Caenorhabditis elegans: one gene and its partner. The protein of the gene in region 1 interacts with the protein of each later gene in a pairwise test. Each region holds a gene or a part of one and is shown in the gene's direction. Other genes may lie near its edges.

Region 1 (6,014 bases):
TACACACGCTGCGTAAATCAACACAGTGTAAAATGCTCACAAACTTCCAAAAAAGAGATGGCTAAAATTTTCGAAAATCTGTGCGACTTTTTGTTTATTTTATGATGAGACCTAGGACCACAAGTAAAAATTTGACTGAGCAGCAAATGAGCATTCTACCAGCGCTTATCCTTCGTCACACCCATCTGGCCGTCCTTTTATTATTTTCAACAAACGTTTTCTGTGTTATGTACGTTGGGAGAGCAACAGCAATTTGTGGGCGAAGGAAGCACTTTGGGATAATTTTATGGGTTTTGTAGACCCCGAGTAGAAAGAAAACTAGAAAAGTGATGAACAATTGGGAGAATTTTCGGAAAGAAAAGGAAGGGTTAAGAATAGCTGACACAAATTGTGTAGAAAATTGAATTTGCAATAAGTTTGAGTTGTCGAAAAAAATTAACTAAAAAGTATAGTATTTCCTCCAGAGTAGAAACAAAAAAACTTTCGTTTCGTTAGATAGCTCGTAAAATAAAACCAAAATCGTTAACGTTACAGTACTTCAAAGTCTTATACGCTCTCAGCGTAGCTGGTCTCGAAGCGATTACCTCCGAAATTATTTTTACTCTGAGAAATAACAAAATTAATAAAAATTAATTTTCAGAAAAAAGGCGATTGACGATGGAGGGGACAGTTCGATGAGTGATGAACGCCGACGAAATCGAGAAGCTGCCATTGGATTTCTGACCGCGGCTAGAAGTATCACAAAAACAGATGCGGATCGGTAAGAGAACAACAAAACACAAGTGAAATTTTATCCTAAAAATCAGTTGAAGATACCTTAAGGTACCTTGTCATGACTCATAATTGAACAAGATTACTTGGATATAGTTTTGAAATTTTCTGTTTGGTAATTTTAACCTAGTTATTGTGTTCTCTTATTGTACTTTCTGTTAAAATAAATAAAGTTAGACTAATTTAAATAAGCATCTTAGGAATTCAGTTTCCTGAAAATTTGTAGTGTCTTAAAAAATAATAATGCAAACGCGCTCCACGAACGCTCTCTCTCTCTCTCTCTCTCTCTCTCTCTCTCGAACAATATTTTTTCTTTTCAGTCTTCTATTCCATTTCGGCACTCTTCAAGCAATTTCAACAGCTTCCGAAACATCAATTTCTGCATGTCCTGGTGTCGGACCAATCAAAGCTAAAAATTTACACTCTTTTCTTCATGCAATTATTTCACCTAACGAGCAGGATTAATCGATATTCTTTCAAAGTTTGAATGTGACGAGTTGTATATTTACTTGAATTTCGTAATTGTCATCATCTTCCCTGTGAATCAAACTCACCTGGTAAATAAAAATCAAAGATCACATTAATCGTTTTCTCTTTTTCTCTTTATTTTCATATCTATTGTAATCTTTCAAACGTTATCAATTCCAGTTATCTTCAAAAAATTGTCTCATTATTCGTCTTTTTGTTTCACATTATCTCAATGGTTCAATCGATTTCTTGTTCAATCGATTTTCAGAAAAAAAAATGTCTGACGTACCTGACGACGCTAACGCCGGATGCCCGGGAACTGGAAGTGCCGGAGCTGGTAAGGCTTCAGGATGTGCTGGATGTCCAAATCAGGGGTCTTGTGCTACTGGTCAAGGACCACCACCAGACGCAGATGTGCCGAAGATTCAGGATAGGTTCAGCAGAATTAAGCATAAGGTTAGTCTTTACTATCAAATATTCTTCAGCTGTTAAATTCTTTTACAGATTCTGATTCTCAGTGGAAAAGGAGGAGTCGGTAAAAGTACTCTCACATCGAATCTTGCTCGAGCCCTTGCCTCTGATCCATCAAAACAAGTTGCAATTCTTGACGTGGACATTTGTGGACCATCTCAACCAAGAATGATGGGAGTTGAGGACGAGGAAGTTCATAACAGTGCAGATGGATGGACTCCTGTCGGAATTCAGCCAAATCTGACCCTGATGAGCATTGCTTTCTTGCTCGGTGACAAGAACGATGCTGTGATTTGGCGTGGAGCTCGCAAGAACGGAATGATCAAGCAATTTCTGAAAGACGTCGATTGGGGAGAGGTTGATTATTTGCTGATTGATACACCTCCAGGAACATCTGATGAACATATTTCTCTTGTTCAATTCTTATTGCAAGCAGGTCCATTGGATGGTGCATTGATTGTCAGTACTCCGCAAGAAGTTTCATTGCTTGATGTCAGAAAAGAGGCGAGTTTAAATTTGAAACTTTCCCTGAAAAAGAGTTTTCAGAATAAATTTTTGATACTCACTGTCAGTTATTACACATACGCGAAGTTTTTGCAAGTTTAACGCCAAATATACGGTACCCGGTCTCAACACGAAAAATTTGTTGTAATATTCGAAAAGTGTGCGCCTTTAAAAAGTACTGTAATTTAAAACTTTCGTTGCTTCGGAATTTCCATAATTTTTTTCCAATTTACTTGCATTTTTTTATAACAAAAATTCCGAAGCAGCGAGAAATTGAAATTACAGTACTTCTTAAAGGCACACACCAGTTTTTATTTAACGAACAGTTTTCGTGTTGAGACCGAGTACTGTATTTTTGGAGAAAAAATCGCAAAACTTCGCGTCTTTGTATTAGTTGATTTCATCTTCAGAATTATGATAAACAATTTATTTTCAGGTCAGCTTCTGCGTCAAGACTAAAGTCCCGATTCTTGGTGTTGTTGAGAACATGGCTCGTTTCGTATGCCCCAACTGTGCTCATACAACTCTCCTCTTCCCAACATCCACCGGCGGAGCTGAGCAAATGTGCAAAGATTCGAATCTTGAGCTTCTAGCTCAACTCCCATTGGAACCAGCACTTGCAAAAGCTCTTGACAATGGAGAAGACTTTTTCGAGACAAATCCAGATTCAACGCTGGCAAAATCGTTTTTGGATCTTGCTGAGAAAGTTAAGGCAAAGCTTGTTTAAATTTTCGTATGTTGCATTGTTGATTACTTCTTTTCCTCCAGGATTCCTAATTTGTTTCCATGTTGTGAGTTTTAGATCATCAAAAATAAATGTTAAATGTTTTCCTCATAATGTTTGAACATTTAAAAAGCGATTCTTGAATTCATCAATATTTCAGAGCTATTGTTTTATTTAAAGGAAAATGAAATTAAAAATAAATAAAAATTTTGAGATGCACCGTGTTGTTATAACAGGGATGGGTGCAATTTCACCATTCGGTGTTACCGTTAATGCACTACGAAACGGTTTGAACGAGGGAAGAAGTGGCTTGAAATACGATGAAATTCTCAAATTTGTCGTCGGTGCAGTTCCTGGAGAACGGGTGGAAGATCGGTGGAGCACTGGACAACAAAGAGAAATGAGTAAAGCGAGCATGTTCGTGTTAGCTGCATCAGAAGAAGCATTGAAACAGGCAAAAGCTGAAGATGTCGATCACAATGAAACATTAGTTAATATTGGAACATGTATGTCAGATCTAGAACATATTGGAGAAACTGCACAAAAAGTGTCGGAAGGACAATCGAGAAGGGTGTCACCATACTTTGTTCCGCGAATTTTGAATAATCTTCCAGCTGGATATGTTGCAATGAAGTTCGTTTTTAATAACGCGATATTTTGCGATTTTCGCTCCAAGGCCTCGACACGACAAATTTATGTTCACTGCGAAAAGACACGCGCGCCTTAAAGGGGTACTGTAGTTAAAGTCTCTAGTTGCTGCAAAATTTTAATTGAATTTCATAGTTTTTCAATTCAACTAGAATATTTATTTTTAAATTAACTATATTTTAAAAAAATATGAAAAATAAATAAAAATTCTGTAATCTTAAATTTTTTTAAAAATTTCGGAAATTTGGTAAATTCTCAACTTCCGGAATACTAAAAAAAATTTTTTTTTTTTATTAAGTTTTTATAATTTTGTTGTTTTTTTTAGTTTTCATGAAAAAAATTGAAGTTTACAGTAATCTTCAGTAAAATGCTCACACATTTTTGTATTTAACTAAAATTTGGTCGTGTTGAGACCGGGTATCGCATTTTTGGCTTGAAAAGCTCAAAATTTTGCGACCGGGCGCTACTAAATTTTTAATTGTTTTCTTTTCCAAAAACCAATGTAAAGTTCAATCCTAAACTCTAACATTTCAGATATAAAATGCGTGGAGGAGTAGAATCAACATCAACTGCATGTGCCACTGGACTTCATTGCATTGGAAACTCATTTCGATCTATTCGATACGGAGATTCTCGACGAGCTCTGGCAGGAGCTGTAGAATGTGCTCTCAATCCAATTGCTCTAGCTGGTTTTGATAGAATGAGAGCATTGGCAAGAGGTGATCAACCAAATATTAGTAGACCTTTCGATAAGAAAAGAGCTGGATTTGTAATGAGTGAAGGTGTTGGATTAGTATTTATGGAACGACTAGAAGATGCACAGGCACGTGGAGCACAGATTTTAGCTGAAGTTGTTGGATATGGAATATCATCTGATTGTTATCATATTTCTACACCTGATCCATCTGCAATTGGTGCAGTTCTTTCAATGAACAGAGCGATAGGAAATGCACATTTGGAGCCGAAAGATATTGGGTTTGTTTTTTTATTTTCCAAAATAACAGCGTTACTGAAGTTACTGAGTTTTTAAAAATTGGAAAAAAACTAAATTTTTAAATTTTAGATAGTTTTGAAATCGAAAAAAATTTTAAAAAATGTTATTGCAAAACTATTTTTCTTTTGAAAATCATGAAAACTGAAATATTTCAATTAAAAAATCAAAAAATATTACAATTTCAAATTTTGGATAGTTTTAAAATTAAAAAAAAAGTTTTGAAAAACATATCATTGCAAAACGATATTGTTTTTTTTTTGAAAATCGTATTTACTGAAATATTCCAATTAAAACAAAATCGAAAAAAATTAATTACACGAATAAAATCATGTAAATAAAAATAAAAGAAAAGATCGAAAAACTGAAATTGATAACTTCGATATATTAAAAAAATGTCTTGATTGATTTTGAAAACCAAAACATATCGAAAATTAAATTTTTCAACAAAAAAAATCGAAATATATTGCCTCTCATATTCCAGATATGTAAATGCTCATGCAACATCAACACCAAATGGGGATAGTGTAGAAGCAGAAGCTGTACGACAAGTATTTCCAGAACAAAATATTGCAGTGAGCAGTGTCAAAGGACATATTGGACATCTTCTTGGTGCAGCTGGATCAGTTGAAGCAATTGCAACGATTTTTGCAATGAATGATGATGTTTTACCAGCGAATCGAAATTTAGAAGAAACTGATGTATGGTTACTGTATCACCCAGACGCCAAAAATACAGTACATGGTCTCGAAACGATTTTTTGTAAAATACGCAGTTAAAGAGTACGGTAATTTCAAAATTATGTTGCTTTGTAATTTTCCAATAGTTTTTCGTAAAGGAATGATATTTATTTATCAAATAAAGAAAATAAAATCAGAAAAACTATGAAAAGTCCACATCACTGAAAGTTTGAAATTACAGTACTCTTTAAAGGCTCACACCAATTTGTATTTAACAAAAAATTGTCGTGCCGAGACCTTGTACCGTAATATTTAGCGTCATGGGAATTTGAGCTTTTTTTTCAAATGTGTTTTTTTCAGGAAGGAAATGGATTGAATCTTCTCCGCGAAAATCAAAAATGGTCTGATGTTTCCGGAAATAAATCGCGAATCTCAATTTGTAATTCATTTGGATTCGGTGCCACAAATGCTAGTCTTATTTTGAAACAGTTTTGAAAAATGTATAAAAAAGAATTTATAATTTGTACTCGATCGTTTCATATGAGCACCAGACATACAAACATTTTCTAGAAACAAGTAGAACAATTGAAAAATTATAAGAAAAGAAGAAAATACACGAATATCACAGATAAATTATGGTTAGCCGGAGTGAGAGCGAATTCAAATATTAGTAATTGACTACAACAAAGGATGGGGAAGAAACACGATTTGATCGAATAAAACTTAAAATTGGGTTAGGAAACAACTAAAAGACATC
Region 2 (8,218 bases), on another chromosome or scaffold:
TTTTGCAGGTTGAACTAGTCCCAAGTGACCGGAAAACTCCACTTCAACCCAGAAAGGTAGTCGCACCGCGGTTTGAGAAGAAAACCAGGCAAAAAATATCGGATTATTTGAAGCAAATGGCTACTCCGGAAATTGAAGCGGTATTTCATTCTCTCTACGCTCGGCTTCAGTCATTTTCGAATTTCAGAAACTCGCCCCTCTTCGTGCTGCAGTAAAAGAGTATGGAGATCTGATCCGTGATCTCAAGGCGAAAGGTGCTCCAAAAATCGACATCGATAAAGCGGTTGTTGAATTGAAGGCTAGAAAGAGACTTCTTGAAGACACAGAAATTGCTTTGGCACCAAAAGAAGCATCATTCGATCGTCTGAAATTGGAGGATCTTCTCAAAAGACGATTCTTCTATGATCAATCATTTGCTATCTATGGTGGTGTCACTGGTCTCTACGATTTCGGTCCGATGGGATGTTCCTTGAAGGCTAATATGCTCCAAGAATGGAGAAAACATTTCATTCTTGAAGAGGGCATGTTGGAAGTTGACTGTACTTCTCTCACTCCTGAACCAGTTCTGAAAGCTTCTGGACACGTTGACAGATTTGCTGATTGGATGGTGAAGGATATGAAGAATGGAGAATGCTTCCGTGCTGATCATTTGATCAAGAATAGCATTGAGAAGTTGTTAAATGTAAGTTTTCAAAAGAAGTTTCCGTTCTATATTTCGATTTTCAGGATAAAAAGACTAGCGCTGCAGTCAAACAAGACGGACAGGATGTGCTTGCGCGTCTTGAAGGATTCGATAATAAGGATATGCATGAAGTGATCACTCGATTCAATTTCAAGTCTCCGATCACTGGAAATGATCTCACCGAACCAATCGCATTCAACTTGATGTTCCCAACTCAAATTGGACCAACTGGTGACTTCAAAGCATTCCTTCGACCAGAAACCGCTCAAGGAATCTTTGTGAATTTCAAACGACTTTTGGAGTTCAACCAAGGAAAATTGCCATTCGCTGCTGCACAAATCGGATTGGGATTCAGAAATGAAATTTCTCCAAGACAAGGTCTCATTCGTGTTCGTGAATTCACAATGTGCGAAATTGAGCATTTTGTCGACCCAGAAGACAAGAGCTTGGCAAAATTTGCAAAGGTTGCTGATCAAAAGCTTGTTCTTTTCTCGGCTTGCAATCAATTAGACGGTGCTCCAGCTCAGGAAGTTGCTATTGGCGAGGCTGTTGCCAAGGTTTGTTGCTCATTTTTCAAAAGTTTATCCAATTTTTAAATCTTATAGAAAACTGTAGCCAATGAGACACTCGGTTATTACATGGCTCGTTGTCATCAATTCCTCATGAAGGTTGGTATTGATGGACGTCGTCTCCGGTTCCGCCAACATTTATCAAACGAAATGGCTCACTACGCTCAAGACTGCTGGGACGCTGAAATCTTGACCTCTTATGGATGGATCGAATGTGTTGGTAACGCTGATAGAGCTTGCTACGATCTCCAACAACATTACAAAGCAACAAACGTCAAGTTGGTTGCCGAGAAGAAGCTCCCAGAGCCAGTCGATGTTAATTTTGTCGAGGCACAAGCCAACATGGCTTTGCTGGGCAAGAGCTTCAAAAAGGACGCTAAGAAAATTCAAACATCGCTCCAACAACTCACCAGTGAACAAGTCTCGGCTCTTGAAGAAGAGCTTCTCGCCAAGAAGTGAGTTTTGATTATGAAATAATTCTACAATTTAAAAATAAATTTTTCAGGCTGTACAATCTCAGCGTGGACGGCCAGAATTACGCGTTGACCCCAGAGCATCTGAATATTAAGAAATACACGAAAAAGATTCACGTACAAGAGATTACTCCATCAGTTATTGAACCATCGTATGGTATCGGAAGAATTATGTATGCTCTTCTCGAGCACTCGTTCAGACAAAGAGAAGGAGATGAACAGAGGACTTTCTTGGCTTTCAAGCCATTAGTTGCACCAATCAAATGCTCAGTTCTTCCAATTTCAGCCAATGACACATTGATTCCAGTTATGGATGCCGTTAAGGAGGAACTCTCACGCTTTGAGATGAGTTACAAAGTGGTGAGTTTGAACTATAGTTTTGATATAAAGTGCTTTTAGAACGGGAAATTTAAATTTTATTTTTTCAGGATGACAGCTCCGGCACCATTGGTCGCCGTTACGCACGTACTGATGAGATTGGTATTCCATTCGGAATCACTGTTGACTTTGATTCATTGAAGACCACTCCATTCACTGTCACCATCCGCCACGCTGAAACAATGTCACAGATTCGATTAGAAGTCTCAGAACTCGGAAGACTCATTTCTGATCTTGTCGCTGGCCGTCAACAATGGTCCGATGCTCAGGCCAAATATCCAAAATTCGAAGCGAGCGCAACTGAATAATTGAATGTTTATCTAAATTTTTGTATTGCCTTTTTACATTTCCAGCAAAGTATAATCATTGTTCTTTTCGTTTATTTATTCTGGTTTCAACTTTTCGAGTGCTTTTTTTGTTTTCTTTATGGTTACCAATGAATTGAGAGTTATTTTATAACGCTGTCCGTCATAGAATACGTGTGTGGTACATCAAACATCGCTGAAAAATACTTGAATATGATTAATATTCTCAATAGAGAAAAAATAGTATTACAAAAAATAAATTTTTAAATTCAGTATGCTTGGCGTCGTCGGATTCTTCATTTATGCTAAAGAGGTATGCGTTTTTTTTTAAATTCGAAACCGGTTGCAGCAAGAAGACGGGTCGATGTGAATATACGCCCCACGACCAATTGGAAATGCTCCGCCCCTGTTTTTTTGATTTTACGGTTCTACCACCATATACCTAACGAGACCCATCGTTTGGGGGCGGAGCGTCTTCAATTGACCGTGGAGCGCGTTTTGACGATCATTTCGGCCTGTCCTGCCTCCTCGTAAAAGAAAAATTCAGAATTCCCGTCTATTCGATTCGGTGAATCCACGTTACGCACAGCAATTGCTTGAAATCGAGATGTTCACATTCTGCTCATTGGATATTGTAGATGAGAAATCAACAAAAGCATCGGAAATGTTTTTGGGACAACTTTATAATGATCAAAAGTGGAGGGTAAAGAATATTTGACTGAAAACTACTTTATATCTTCATTTTTCAGTCATTCGGCTACATTACCAACACAGGAGTCCGTATGATTCTGGTTCTTGACGCAACTTCAGCAGCTTCATTAAAAGATCAGGAGATTCGATTGATATTCAAACGATTCCATGGACATTATTGTAATACTATCTCAAATCCATTTTATGAAATCGGAACCCCAATGCAATCAAAATGGCTTGACGAAGGAATCAATGATCTATATTCGATTAGTGAATAATAATGAAACGGATTTTGTAAATAAAATAATTTTTGTTTTTTTCTTGTGAATCTACGAATATGGATGATTTTCAATCGTCTTTGACGTCACTGTATCTTTAATTGTCTTATTCAGATAATATTAAAAATATTTCCAGAAGTTTTATGGAAGATTCTGGATTCAGTGGTGTCGTTCGACTTTCAAATGTTTCGGATTTTATTGCTCCGAATTTGGTGAGTTTTTTTAAAAAATGACGTCTGTTAATTCTCCAGTTTCAAAAGTTAAAAAGTTAAAGTATAACTACTTTGTGAGAAGTTTATATTCTTGTTTTTAATTCGAATTTTTAAAAAACGTTTCAGAAAATGTTCTGATTTTTTTCGAAATTAAATTTCGTTTTACAATTTTGTATTGTCAGGAATTGTTTTTTTTTTGAAATTCTGAAATTTCTGGTAAATTTTAATAAAAATAAATCCAAAACAAGTTATATTAAAGATAATCCAGCGATTTTGAATGTTTAAAATAAATCTATAGTCAAAAATTTCAATCAAAAACTGAACATTTCCAAGATAAAATAAATACATACATACAAACTTCACCTCGAGGAGACATTTTATCTATGCAAATGCCTAATTTAGCTAGTTTTTATTTAAGAAAAAAACGGTACCTGGTCTCGACATGGCCAAATAAATATTCATAAAAACGACGTGCGCCTTTAAGAAGTACGGTAGTTTTTTTGTTCTTGTTTCCTTTTAAAAAATTATTTTTGTGTAACCAGTTTTTCAAAAAATAAGTGAAAGTTGCAAAGAGTGGACACTACTGTACTTTCTGAATGCGCACACACTTTTTCATTAAACATTTTATTTCTGTCGTGTCGAGACCAGAAATTCTTTTATTTTTTGAATATTACTGTAAAATTGTATCAATTTTTCAGGACTGCATAATCCCATTGGAAACGAGAACTGTGGAAAAGAAAAAAGAAGAATCACAAGTGAATATCCGTACCAAAAAACCAAAAGACAAAGAATCTTCTAAAACAGAAGAAAAGAAATCCGTTAAAATCTCGTTAGCTGATTGTCTGGCATGTAGTGGATGTATCACTAGTGCTGAAACAGTTCTTGTTGAAGAACAATCATTTGGACGAGTTTATGAAGGAATTCAAAATTCAAAGCTCTCAGTCGTCACTGTTTCTCCACAAGCCATCACTTCTATTGCTGTGAAAATTGGAAAATCAACAAATGAAGTAGCGAAAATAATTGCCTCATTTTTCCGAAGACTAGGTGTCAAATACGTAATTGATTCATCATTTGCCCGGAAATTTGCACATTCTTTAATATATGAAGAACTTTCAACAACTCCATCAACATCTCGACCACTTCTTTCATCTGCTTGTCCGGGATTTGTGTGCTACGCTGAAAAAAGTCACGGAGAGCTTTTAATCCCTAAAATCAGTAAAATTCGATCACCTCAAGCTATAAGTGGTGCAATTATCAAAGGATTTCTAGCAAAAAGAGAAGGTTTAAGCCCCTGTGATGTATTCCATGCAGCTGTAATGCCATGTTTTGATAAGAAATTAGAGGCATCGAGAGAACAATTTAAAGTTGATGGAACTGATGTTCGAGAGACTGATTGTGTTATAAGTACTGCTGAACTGTTAGAAGAAATTATCAAATTGGAAAACGACGAAGCCGGAGATGTTGAAAATAGATCAGAAGAAGAGCAATGGTTATCGGCTCTTTCTAAAGGTAAATTTGAAAAGAAATAACAATTTCTGTGGTTTTTTTATTTCTTTAAAGTCAGGCTCAAATTCTCCAATTTCGACGCAAATCCTTTGGTTTCCTCAAATTTTTTAGTGAAAAAAACTTTATGTAGAGAATACCAAAAGTTACCAAAAATCTGGAATTTTTCTACAGAATTTAGCACGCCACTGTAGACATAAAAACCTCTTTTTCACTTGAAAATTCGAGAAAAACAAAGAAGCTGCGGCGGATTTGAGAGCTGAAAGACAAAAAAACAACGACTTGTATTTTAACCGATTTTATTCAAAATTAACAGCATTTAGGTCCCCAGTTGATCTCATAATCTTCTGGTCGTGATGGTGGACGAGCTGGTGGGACAACTTTCGAGATTGTCGATTTGAGCTTATCTGAAATGATTTCAATTTTAGAACATCTTCAGCTTATAAAATCTTATTTATACTTACCGGTTTCGGAGCAGCTGCTTTTGGTTTTGTAGCCTTCGCTTTGCACCCAACAGAAACAGTCTGCGCCAATAATATTCTGAAATTGAAAATAATTTCAGTCAAATTCTCAGAAATTAATAAAACTTACATCCCAAAAAAAATCAGGCTTGATCAGTTACACAATCAATTTCTTGAGTGACTGAATTCAAGCTCTTATTCTTGAGGAATAAATTTTAAACTTTTGAATACTCCTTTTCTACGTGTAGATTTTTTTATTTCTCTTCACGTGTTGTAGGACACGTGTTTTCAGCTCGACCATTCGGTGTAATTTGTGCAAACACCGTCACGCGCAAATGCAGACATTTTTGCACGCGCTGTGGTGAAATTCCTCTTGGGGAATTCAAATATTTTTCTCTCGCCGTTTTTGAAAATTTTCGAGGCGTTGGTTCTTTTAAAATCGCGCTACAATGCCTCCGCCTCCCAACCATGGGTCTCGGTAGGTATTGGCGACAAAACCATATTTTCCAACTTGTGGAAAACATTTATTTTACGAGAAATACAACATGAAACTGAACAGAGCAGGAGCTGAAAAACATATCGTAAATTTTCTACAGTAATCTTTAGAAACGAAACAAAATAAAAAAAGATGCCTCCCTTAAAACACAATACTGAAATGTTTCAGGATCTGTTATTGGTGACGATGGTGGTGCTTCTGGAGGATATGCTGATCGAATTGTTCGAGATTTCGTGCTGGAAAATGGAGGAGGAATTGTAAAAACATCAAAACTGTAGGAATAAATAACTTTAAATAATGTAATATTTCATTTTTTCAGAAACAAGAACATGTTCTCCACGACTGTAGAATCCGAAGCTGGAGAAATTCTTTTAAGAGTTGCCAAGGTTTACGGGTTTCGAAATGTGCAGAATCTGGTTCGAAAAATGAAGACGAAAAAGGAGAAGACAGATTACGTGGAAATTATGGCTTGTCCGGGTGGATGTGCAAATGGTGGAGGTCAGATTCGGTACGAGACAATGGATGAGAGAGAAGAGAAATTGATTAAAGTCGAGGCATTATATGAAGATTTACCCAGACAAGATGATGAAGAAACCTGGATAAAAGTTCGAGAGGAATGGGAGAAACTTGATAAAAACTACCGTAATCTTCTGTTTACGGACTATAGGCCCGTTGAGACGAATGTTGCTCAAGTCTTGAAATGGTGAATTTTCTTGTTATATTTTGTGATACATTCCCAGTCCCTAATTTTTTAGATTCTATAGAATAAAATGTTTTTTTTTGTTTTTCAACGAAAACGCGACATTTTTAAAGCATTTTTTGGTTAACAGAAAAGTTACGAAAAAAAATGAACAGTAACAATGTTGAATAGATGAGAAAAACAGCAACAAAAACAAACAGGGAGCAATAACAGGGAGACATCTTAAATATTAATAGTCTTGAAGACATTAAATCCATCAATTGAAGTGTTGATAGCCAATCCAGGAATCTGTTGATGCCAGTGAACTTCTTTGACCTCATTCTGACCCATATGGACGAACATCAGCTGTGGTGGAACTCCTTCGATATTCGTTTGTCCATCTGCTTCAGTTGCAATATCCCAAATTGTTGTCTGATCGTCTTCACCGGAAGCCATAAATGTCGTTGTTTCATGTGGATGCCAGTCGACTGAAGTGATTGGTGAATTGTGATACTTGAAGAGTGCCACTGGTTGACCGAATTGGATTGTTTTCAAAGACCAAATTTTCAGCTCTCCGTCATCACCACCAGAAACAATGAGGTTTTCGTGACGATTCCACGAAATAACATTAACATCGGATTCATGAGCTTTTTGCACTGTACAGACGCAGGCATCTTTTGGAGCAGAACGTGTATCCCATAGTTTGATACTTCCATCCGCGGAACATGAAGCAAGAAGTCCAGTTTCAGTTGGTGACCATGCAAGATCTTCGACACTCTCTGAAAAATATTGGAATATGTACTGAAAAATGCTCAAAAATTTTTATGCGACAAAGACAAGTTTTTAATTCAGATTTTTGTTTTTTTCCAATCTATTCAAGAAAAAACCACTCAAACGCCATTCAGGAGACACATTTCAATTTTTGGAATTTTCAGATCAAAATTAAATAAATTACTTTTATGTCCAGTTAATGGATTAGCTCCAACAGCCCATTGTCCTCCTTCCTTCATTTGCCACAAATAAATCTTTTTGATGATATCACCAGTAGCCAAGTCTCCAGTTTTTAATGAAGACCAAGCAAGTCCATATCCTTCTTTTCCAGATCCATTATTCGTGAACAAGGGTCGATCGATCTTTTGCACTTCAGTCTTCGACTCTCCGCTCATTCCATGAGTATAATTCAATGCATCAGTGATATTCCACACCTGGACACGTCCTTGATCACTCCAGCAAGCACATACAGTACTGTCACCAAGACGATCGGAACGAATTCGGTTAATACCACCATAGTGAGGAATCGAAACAGCGTGCATTTTTGGTTCTCTTTTCTTCTCTTCTTCGGCATCTTCATCTTCGGATTCGTCTTCAGAGGTGTCACTGTCGTCGCCTTTGTTTTCTTTTTCTTTCTGAAATACTCACTTTTATTGTAGAGATATCCTTGTTTTTTTTAGTTTAACAATTGTGTTACTGAGCTTAAAACTAAACGTTGGCC

The links. Proteins that work in one complex are often made in the same cells at the same time.
Region 2: the proteins of nubp-1 (region 1) and oxy-4 interact in a two-hybrid assay, tested with the Caenorhabditis elegans proteins (one large-scale study listed by BioGRID).

What each region holds. Positions count from the first base shown.
Region 1 is NC_003279.8:10,044,935-10,050,948, forward strand, and holds nubp-1 (Cytosolic Fe-S cluster assembly factor NUBP1 homolog), read left to right. Parts: upstream 1-1,507; 5' UTR 1,508-1,515; coding exon 1,516-1,695; intron 1,696-1,743; coding exon 1,744-2,214; intron 2,215-2,650; coding exon 2,651-2,941; 3' UTR 2,942-3,043; downstream 3,044-6,014. Other genes in the region: ercc-1 (ERCC1-like central domain-containing protein), read left to right, coding at 641-760, 1,092-1,236; F10G8.9 (beta-ketoacyl-[acyl-carrier-protein] synthase I), read left to right, coding at 3,153-3,571, 4,121-4,561, 5,062-5,278, 5,618-5,752; F10G8.8 (PH domain-containing protein), read right to left, coding at 6,014-6,014. UniProt on the Caenorhabditis elegans protein: Component of the cytosolic iron-sulfur (Fe/S) protein assembly (CIA) machinery. Required for maturation of extramitochondrial Fe-S proteins.
Region 2 is NC_003281.10:5,154,068-5,162,285, reverse strand, and holds oxy-4 (putative cytosolic Fe-S cluster assembly factor oxy-4), read left to right. Parts: upstream 1-3,511; 5' UTR 3,512-3,518; coding exon 3,519-3,587; intron 3,588-4,285; coding exon 4,286-5,096; intron 5,097-5,399; coding exon of another isoform or gene 5,400-5,497; intron 5,498-5,554; coding exon of another isoform or gene 5,555-5,630; intron 5,631-5,681; coding exon of another isoform or gene 5,682-5,852; intron 5,853-6,215; coding exon 6,216-6,321; intron 6,322-6,366; coding exon 6,367-6,754; 3' UTR 6,755-6,826; downstream 6,827-8,218. Other genes in the region: gars-1 (Glycine--tRNA ligase), read left to right, coding at 9-140, 188-682, 727-1,239, 1,288-1,706, 1,757-2,084, 2,153-2,410; T10F2.5 (Trafficking protein particle complex subunit 2-like protein), read left to right, coding at 2,682-2,720, 2,955-3,110, 3,157-3,375; grwd-1 (Glutamate-rich WD repeat-containing protein 1), read right to left, coding at 6,970-7,505, 7,682-8,132. UniProt on the Caenorhabditis elegans protein: Component of the cytosolic iron-sulfur (Fe/S) protein assembly machinery. Required for maturation of extramitochondrial Fe/S proteins.